2 linked regions of the Coturnix japonica genome follow. The protein of the gene in region 2 binds, or shares a complex with, the protein of the main gene of each other region. Links are inferred from orthologs where the notes say so. Each region holds a gene or a part of one and is shown on either strand. Other genes may lie near its edges. The genes, in order: PDE6D and RHEB.

Evidence for each region.
Region 1: the proteins of RHEB (region 2) and PDE6D are in contact, whole or in part, in a crystal structure (PDB 3T5G), measured with the Homo sapiens proteins. The link is inferred for Coturnix japonica from reciprocal best matches to the Homo sapiens genes RHEB and PDE6D. Residues at the interface, in NP_005605.1 of Homo sapiens: Pro2, Gln3, Ser4, Gln57, Asp77, Gln176, Gly177, Lys178, Ser179, Ser180, Cys181; in NP_002592.1 of Homo sapiens: Ile53, Leu54, Cys56, Val59, Val80, Gln85, Cys86, Leu87, Glu88, Glu89, Trp90, Ile109, Glu110, Ala111, Ala112, Pro113, Gln116, Met117, Met118, Leu123, Tyr149.

What each region holds. Positions count from the first base shown.
Region 1 is NC_029524.1:13,401,745-13,406,289, reverse strand, and holds the start of PDE6D (retinal rod rhodopsin-sensitive cGMP 3',5'-cyclic phosphodiesterase subunit delta), read left to right. Parts: upstream 1-1,653; 5' UTR 1,654-1,770; coding exon 1,771-1,820; intron 1,821-3,382; exon of another isoform or gene 3,383-4,545. Other genes in the region: COPS7B (COP9 signalosome complex subunit 7b), read right to left, coding at 735-1,115. UniProt on the Homo sapiens protein: Promotes the release of prenylated target proteins from cellular membranes. Modulates the activity of prenylated or palmitoylated Ras family members by regulating their subcellular location.
Region 2 is NC_029517.1:5,599,521-5,603,801, reverse strand, and holds the start of RHEB (GTP-binding protein Rheb), read left to right. Parts: upstream 1-1,226; 5' UTR 1,227-1,516; coding exon 1,517-1,568; intron 1,569-4,281. UniProt on the Homo sapiens protein: Small GTPase that acts as an allosteric activator of the canonical mTORC1 complex, an evolutionarily conserved central nutrient sensor that stimulates anabolic reactions and macromolecule biosynthesis to promote cellular biomass generation and growth.

The sequences.
Region 1 (4,545 bases), on a different chromosome or scaffold from region 2:
AGCACAAGGTGATGGGGACACCCAAGAGTTGCTAAAGCAACTGTCTACTCTGTTAAACTCTACATTTCCCAGGATCCAGAGGCTAACCATCTCTCACTTCACGCAGACCATGAGAAAGACACATCTGGATGGTGGCACATATGCAGTTGTTTGACCCCTTCCATCAAGTGTCAGATGGGAGAAGACCTCAGCTTATGAGCCCGTCTCCCTGGGACACAAGCTCTTGTAGCAGTACCTTTGGAGAAGAGCATTGCAATGTGCTTTGGGGAGGCAGAAAGGAGGCTGGAGGTGTCTCCTCACCTGCAGTGACAGCTCAGAGACTGTGATGCCTGCCAGAGGTGTAAAAGCAAAGGTGAGGTTTTTAGAACAAAATGGTTCAAGGGAATAGTGAGACTTGCTGCAATTTTCTTGCAAGAGAAAGTATTTTGAGAGGAAAGAACTCAAGGTTTCTGTCACTCTGAATCACAGAATATCCTAAACTAGAAGAGACCCATAAAAACCACTGAACCCAACTCCTGGTTCCACATAGAACCACTCAGATCATGTGTTTGACAGCACTGCGCGGGTGCTTTTTGAACTCCAGCACCCAACCAACCTCTAATTGAAGAACCTATTCATGATATCCAACCTGAACCTCCTGAGTTACACTGTCCCACCACACGCTTCTTCCCTAGTTTTAGGAGGGGAAATGGGTGGTTTTTGAAGCTGAGACGCAGAGGCTGCCAAGCACGTACCTCCTCACACAGCGTGGAGAGTTTGGGCACCCATGTCAGAACCACAAAGGCCCCAACACCGACATCAGGGCACACTCTCGTGTCAGGAGCCCTTCGCTGCCGTTGCTCGCTGCGAGAGCCGCTTCTGTCTGGCTGCCACCTCCCTGTAGCCCTAAGCGGGGCGGTTCGGAGCCCCCTGTGCTGTGGGTAGAGCAGCATGCTGTACTTCTGCCCCGCAGGCTTCTCCCTCACACACAACCGCTCGCTCTGGCCTTCTCCAGCTCTGCTGCTGCCTGCGCTCTCCCTGTCTCCCTGCCAGCTTTTCTTCGGGAGCGTTCTCTGCCCTTCTCTGGACGCACTGGGTAACGCCGGGCTATCCAGAACACAACAAGGCTGCTCCATGTCAGCTAACGGGGCGGTCAGCGCTGCCCACCGCCAGCCTTAATGGCACTCATAGGCTGTGCCGTTAATGGCACTCATAGGCTGTGCCGTTAATGGCACTCATAGGCTGTGCCCTCGTATGTTCGACGCCTCGCGGTTCTCTCTCCTCAGCGTGGCAGTGCTGTTGAGGAGCTCTGTGGCAGTGTACGCGGAGCCCCCAGTTGTCGTCCCGCACGCAGACTGTTATAAGCCGTGTTAACGTATTAACGAACGGCCGGCACCGGACACGCGTCCCCAATGGGGCCGGGCGAGGTTTGTCCCGCGCCGCCTCCCGTCCCCGCCGACGTCACTCAGCCCCGGCCGGGCCCAGCGCCTTAACAAGCTGCGCAGCCGCCCTTATATCAACGGAGGGGGAGGACGCGCCGTCCGATTGGTCCATCCCGCTGTCCTTCATCAACCAGCAGGGGCGTCGGCGGCTCGCGATTGGTTGTCCCGTCGGGGCGGGGAGAGCGGCCGCTGGGATTGGCTGCCTCGGCCGGTGGCGGGTGCGAGGGAGTGCGAGGGGGCGGGGCGGGGGGTCGTGAGGCGCCGCTGTCAGCGCCGCTCCCGGCCAGGCCCCGCGCAGCCAGGACAGCCCGCTCAGCCCGCCCAGCCCGCGGCGCGGCGCGGCAGGACCATGTCGGCCACGGACGAGCGGGCCAAGGAGATCCTGAGGGGCTTCAAGCTGTATCCTCACCGAGGGGGAGCGAGGGGGGGGCGGGCGGGGCTGGGGGAAAAGGGGGGGGGTGGCTGGGTACCGGGGTTTCCCTGTGTGAGGGCGGTTGTCATGGCAGCTCTGCCACACACGGGGCTGTTGTGTCGCGTCCCCCTCTCGGCCTCGCGTTGCGGGTCCGTCCCTCTGGGCGCTGGGCCGGGGGCAGCGCGGGGCTCCGAGCGGGCACTGCTGCGTCGTGCCGGGCCCTGAGGCGTCAGCGCTGCCCGAGTCCGGTTGTTAACGCGTCTGTCTGCGGTACGCGATGAAAGTTTGCGCCTTGTCGCTTGGCGTGCTGGGCGAGCACCAGTTTAACGCCGGTGCAGTGAAGCAGAAGTGGGAGCGGAGGGTCCTGAGTGCGGCCTTGCAACCTTGGGGATGGGGGGGGGGAATGACGGCTCAGCGCATAGGTCTGTGTGTGTGTAAGGGTGGGAGATGTGTACAGCTGATTTTACCGTAGCAGATTCTACTGCGCATAGTGGGCAGGTGCCAGCTTGGCCTTAAGGGGCAAGAAAACCAGTGGCTGTATTTTTTTTCCCCCCATAATGGAAAGGACAGAACCAAAGTGAATGAAAGGACAGAACCAAAGCGAATGAAAGGACAGAACCAAAGCGAATGAAAGGACAGAACCAAAGCGAATGAAAGGACAGAACCAAAGTGAATACCCCTCTTGCTCCAATGCTGTTATTCCTGAGCATATTTTTGGCCAGCGAGGTGCTGCTAATCTCTGTGCCAGCTGCAGCAGAATCTGAGTTACTCAGTTGGATTCAGCTGCTATCAAACTATTGGCAGATGCTTTGCTGAACTTATGAATCACTGTCCCCTCCCCCCCAGCTTTTAGTTCTGCAGCTGGTTCCTTTGCTTCTGCACTGGTAATATTGACAGTTCTTTTTGTTTGTGGAGCTGTAAGATTTTGGCTGTCAAAACACAATTTAAGCGTGTTTTGTGCGAGTAATTAGGAAAAGCATAAGCTCCTGACAAGATGAGACTGAGCTTTTGGTAGAGATGAGAAGGGTTGGAGAGTTAAACTTAAGGTACAGACTTTCACGTGTTTGTTTCTACTGGTTTGTGCACGTGCTTTGCCAGAAGCAGAATCTGAATGAAGGTCTGTGTCCAGCTATGGATGAAAAATCACTTCCATTGTTTGGTAACTTAAATAGAAAATGTTTCTTGACCTGGTGTTAAAGGTAAACCTCAATAGCTCAGATTGGAAAATCAGGAAAGTATTTATCGATGTATTGCATAGATGGGATTTCTTGAGTTGAGATAGTTGAATAATATGCAAGTATTAGAAGGAAAGTGACAGAGCAGGCATTCCTCATTTATGAGAGAAAGCCCTGAGACACCACAGCATCCACACAGGAAGCAGTTCGTGCCCAGATGTGGCCTCATTCTCTGTAAGGCAGCCACCAGCTCAGGCTTCCTTTTTTTGACAGTGTGTATTCTAAAACAGTACATTTGAAAGAGATGCTTTATCTTCTGCTCCCTGTGCTGAAGTATGTGTTAACTTGGTGCCCTCAATAAGAAAGGAAGAGAGAAACATCCTCCGGGAAGCTCTCAGGTTTATATTTGGAGTACTTGAACTTCTTCCTCCTCCCAAGAAGGAAGGAGCACACCCTGCAAACTTGCTGTTAGCACCAGAAGCCATCACAGCAGTACTTTAGGTATGGCATAAAAAGAAATAAGTATATCCAAGGTAGGTTTATTTGGTAGAGGGCATCACTGAGGAATCAGTTTTCTCACTTGAATGCAAGAACACACACTTTGGAAATGGAGTTTGCATTGAGTACTGGAGCACCCTCAACTAAAGTCTGTTCATTTGTGGTTTCTGAGAAGAGACTAACTACAGGCTTTCAAGCTGATTGGGACATGCTGCTGTGCACATTAAATTACAGCCTAAATCCACCCTCTGACTTAGCACCAAGATATGCTTCCCTTCCTTTATGACACTAGCACAGAAGCATGTTGTGGCTAGCGTCAAATTCAGACCAGGGTATTTTACTCCCTCTTCCCATAGACTTTGTTACTTAAGAAGATGAAAACCGAAAGGAGAAATATTTGATACTTGCAGACAAAAGAGGTTTCCCACTTTATTACACTAGGATTTTTTTATGGCACCAGTAAACTAAACACCAACAGCGTAGTTAATGTGTTACGATAAGAGATGGAAAGCAACCATCAAGATCTTCTATAGCTTGTCACTTCCTAAGAGACAGTACTTGTTATCAGACCTCTCAGGTACATTCATCAACTCACTGTTCTAAGGATGCTGCTTAAAATACAGCATCTTGGTGGTCTGGCACTCTGAGAATACATTCTAGTTGCTTGTCCATAAGTAATACCAGTTCAGTTAGCTAATATTCCAAAGGAAAGCATCAGTAATTACTGAGCTTCATTTCCACAAGCTTTTATACACAGCTGGTCCTGTAATCTCAAGTGCATTCGGTCTGACTCTGCTCTGTGCTCTGTCACTCCCTCTGTAGCTTCCTCCTGAACTGGGGCAGTTTCTCCATCAAACTGCAGAGTGGTGTTTTAATTGATCTCTAACCAGCAAGGAGAAAGGAGTTCAGCAAAGCCAGCTGACTCTTGTAGCATGGTTAAGGTACTAAGTAAACATACCCATTTTCTATTTTAAAACTTACAATTCAGGCAAGATATCACCTGTATTATTTGCTCTTTCACAGAAGAGCATCAGAATGT
Region 2 (4,281 bases):
AACCTCAGTGGGCAGCCATACATATGGGAGCACACCCAGTGCTAACATTGGGTGCAGTTCAAATAGCTCCTCCAGTAGGTGCTGGTTGGCCAGAGGATCGAGCAGGTAATTAAAGTGCTAATTGCTTTTATAGGAACTGAATGTACAAGCCAGATGTGTTTTGCATTTGGAACTTGAGTAGCGCTGTGTCCATGGGTTCGTATGCACTGAATTGCCATAAAAACATTGAACTGCTGGGTTACGTTTCCTAGAGGAAATTCATCGCAGACACAGGCAACAAAAGGCCGATGCTTTCCCATTTCTCAGCCTCAACATCTGTTCCTGATCTCAGTGTATATACACGCTCTATTTGTGCCGGCACTCTTTGTTTTGGAACCCAGACCATTGCATTCGTTGACCGCATCTGTTGGGATGTCGTTTATAATAAAACGATTATAACTCACCAACGATTGGTTGTACTGGTGTCAGTCACTCATTGCAGCGTTCTCTGAACTCCTTTGTAGCTCACAGGGTAAAACACTCTAGGAATGAAGATGCTGGATTAGCACTGGGGAGGGGCAAAGGGGAAGCCCTATTGCTAATGCTGCTGCTGGGAAGCCACAACCTCAGCACGGCAGGAAAGCACTAAGACTTATCCCAAGTAGAAGTGCTATGATACAGGTTACTTAGCCATGGAGATCCTGTAACTCACAGGGTTATAGGGCAGGAGATCCCGTAATCCACAGGGTTATAGGGCAGGAGATCCCGTAACCCACAGGGTTGTAGGGCAGGAGATCCCGTAACCCACAGGGTTATAGGGCAGGTGGGATGGGGTCTCTGGGCGGCCTGATCTGGGGGCTGAGGTACCATTTGTGAACCATGGCAGGGCATTGCAGCTGGGTGATCTCCATGAAGCCTATAAGATGGTCCCATGGCACTAGTAGAGGTTCATGTTGAGGTTAGGACTAACTCCTTCCTGTGGAGGACAGTCACACTGAGGTGATCCCGCCCCGCTCAGCCCCTCACACCCCACAACCCAACCGCCGTCTGGAGGCGCACCACGGCGCACGCGCGGCTTTTAACCCCCATCCAACCAATCCCCTCCCACGCATCCCCTTAGCCCCGCCTCCTTTCTTTGAAAACCGATCTCATCCAATCCCCGCCCTCTAACCGCGAGCAACTGCCCAATCAGCGCCCGGCGGGGCGTGAGGTGGGCCGGCATGACGCAGCGGGTTTGTGCAGCCGGCAGTCGGCGCGGTGTTGGCGGTGGGGGCGGTCGGTCGGTCCGTGCTGCGCTGCGGCCTGTGACGCGTGACGCACCGCTACGTGAGGGGACGGGCGCTGCCGCCGCGGGTTCCGCGCTCTCGGCCCATCGATCGCCGCCGCCCTCCAACCCCCCCCCCCCCCCCCCCCCCCCCCCATAACAACAACCAGCGCCGCATGAGGCTGACGGCGCACACGCAGCCTCCCGCCGCCCTCCGCCTCTTCTTCGTCCGCCTCCTCCCTTGATGTGGTTCGTGGCCGGGCGGGGGACAAGATGCCGCCGTCCAAATCCCGTAAGATCGCGATCCTGGGCTACAGGAGCGTAGGTGAGTGTTAAGGGGGGGGAGACGAAATGGGAACGGGTGGGTGGGTGGGTGGCAGGTGCAGGGCTGGGCCGGGCCCCGCGCAGTGCGGCCGGGAGGCGCCATGGCGGCGCCGCAGAGCGCTGCGGGCCCGGGAGCCAACGTGAGACTGTGCCCTTAATTGGACAGGGGACGGCACCGGGACGGGGGGGGGGAACAGCGGGGTGTACGGAGCTTTGTGCCCGTTTCCTCTGTCTGTAGACGTGTAGGATGAACGTACGGAGCGCTGCGGTGCCGGGATCGGGAGTGACTGAGTGGTGCGGTCGATACGGTGGAGGGAACGGGTGACATTCAGAGGGACCTCGACAGGCTGGAAAGCTGGGCTCGGGGGTTATGTTGAACCTAATGAGGTTCAACACTGTTTTGCAGTTGGGCAGGAAGAACCCCAGGCACCTGTACAGGCTGGGAGGAGTTGTCCTTGAGAGCAGCTCGGCAGAGAAGGACCTGGGGGTCCTGATGGACGAGAGACTCAACATGAGCCAGCAGTGCGCTCTGGCAGCCCGGAAAGCAAATGGGATCCTGGGCTCCATCAGGAGAGGGGTGGTCAGCAGGGATAGGGAGGTGATCGTCCCTCTCTACTCGGCTCTTGTGAGGCTCCATCTGTTGTACTGTGTCCAGGTGTGGAGCCCTCAGTACAAAAAAGACATGGGAGATTTTGGAAAGGGTCCAGAGGAGGGACAGGAAGATGATCAGGGGGCTGGAGCACCTCCCCTATGAGGACAGGCTGAGGGAGTTGGGTTTGTTCAGCCTGGAGAAGAGAAGGTTGCGGGGTGACCTCATTGCAGCCTTTCAATACCTGAAGGGAACTTACACCCAGGAGGGGAGTAAACTCTTGGAAAGGGCTGACAATAGCAGGACACGGGGAAATGGTTTTAAGTTAAAAGAGGGAAGATTTAGGTTGGATGTTAGGGGGAAGTTCTTCACTAGGAGAGTGGTTAGGCCATGGAACAGGCTGCCCAGGGAGGTTGTGGATGCCCCGTCCTGGGAGGTGTTCAAGACCAGGTTGGACGGGGCCCTGGGCAACCTGATCTAGTAAAGGTGTATGTTTGGTGGCCCTGCCAGGCAGGGGGGTTGGAACTACATGATCCTTGAGGTCCCTTCCAACCCGGGTCATTCTGTGATTCTGTGATCGTACGGCAACACTGAAGGAAAGAACTTCCCGGCGCCATCCAAGCCGGGAGCTGCTCTACAGCCCCACCAGATTCAGCGTCGTGGGGCACGAATGGAGCGGTGCGGCTCGGCATCGATCTGACTTAAAAGCGTAGATCGATGGGAAGGATAACGAGTGGCTGGGAAATAAACTGCTGTAGGAAGGTGCCGCTGTGCTGCTGAAGGGTTTGTGCTGTGAGTGGTGTGTCTGCGGTCGCACACTCAGCATCCGTAACAACGCCTTTTGCTTTTCCCAAGATTAAAAAAGGTTACATGAGTTGTTTAGATGCTGTGTGTGTAGCAGCAGCCTGGCTTCAAGGCTGGATAAACAGTGCTGTGTCTGTATGGTGCTGGAAGGGAGCAGCCTGCAGGAGGTTGGTGGTTCACATGGGGTGTCTAATACGGCACAGTCAGCCTCGGAGCTTGTCTCCTTATGTTTTCTTCTCCGAGTCCGGACTCAAACAAGCACTGGGCAGTGTGTGTGGGTAGGAGGAACGCTGTCAATTCAGTACATTGGATGGTCCAGGGGTAGATGATCCATTGAGCCTGACAGCACACATTGCACATAGCCATTATTAATGCCATTGCTGGTGTGACCCAGGATGATTTGGTGCTTGTATAGAAGGAGGTGAGCAGAAAGTTGCCTCCTGCCCATTAGGGTTTACTACTGTGCTCCTTCACCTGCAGCTTCATGAGACTGATGTGGTTTGGGGCTCTGTGGGACATGGTCTGTTCCATTAGGACAACTGCTTGTTGTAGACATACAGAAGAGAAGTAATAGTTTGCCTTTCATTAACCATGACAACTCTGTTGCCTTGCTTGTTCTTAGGTATAAATCTTGCATGTTTAAGCCACAGAGTTAAGTATGGGAGCTTTACGTTTCTAGGCAAATATTTACATAAAAGATCCAGCAATAGACGTGAGCTGTTGGGTGTTCTGTCATGTAGGGCTGTCAGATAAACAAGAAACATAGAGCATGACATGAAGTCAACCCAAGGATGCCTTGCAAAGTCCAGGAGAATTAACAGCATGGTTTGGCTTCAGATAGACTTATAGGTAAGTCTGATATCACGATGGCATGAATTCCACTTGAACCCTGGGTAAAAGACAGGATCCCATCCCAGATGAAATAAGGGATGTTACATTTGAACAGAGCTAGTTTTTGTCGGGGTGGGGGATAATTAATTCCAAGATCTGAAGGGCTGCTGAAGGCTTCTGAGCTTCCTTTTATAAATAGGGAACTGCCATTAACCTTAACGTTAGCTTTGACCCTGCAGTCTGGGAGGCTGCTCTGTTACACCGTGAAATGTTTCCAGCTCTGTGCCTTGAGTGAATGCTGAGGTGACCTGGGCTGTGGGGTTGGGTGATCTTATCATTTGCATATACAGCATGAGATTAGAAAATGGCGACCTTTTCTCCATTCTCTTTCAGTTCTGTGCTGAAACAACCGAGCTGACACGTTTCGGGCCGTGAGCTGTTCCCTGCAGCTGATGATTCGACAGCTTTGTGGCTCTCTCAGGCTCTGAGC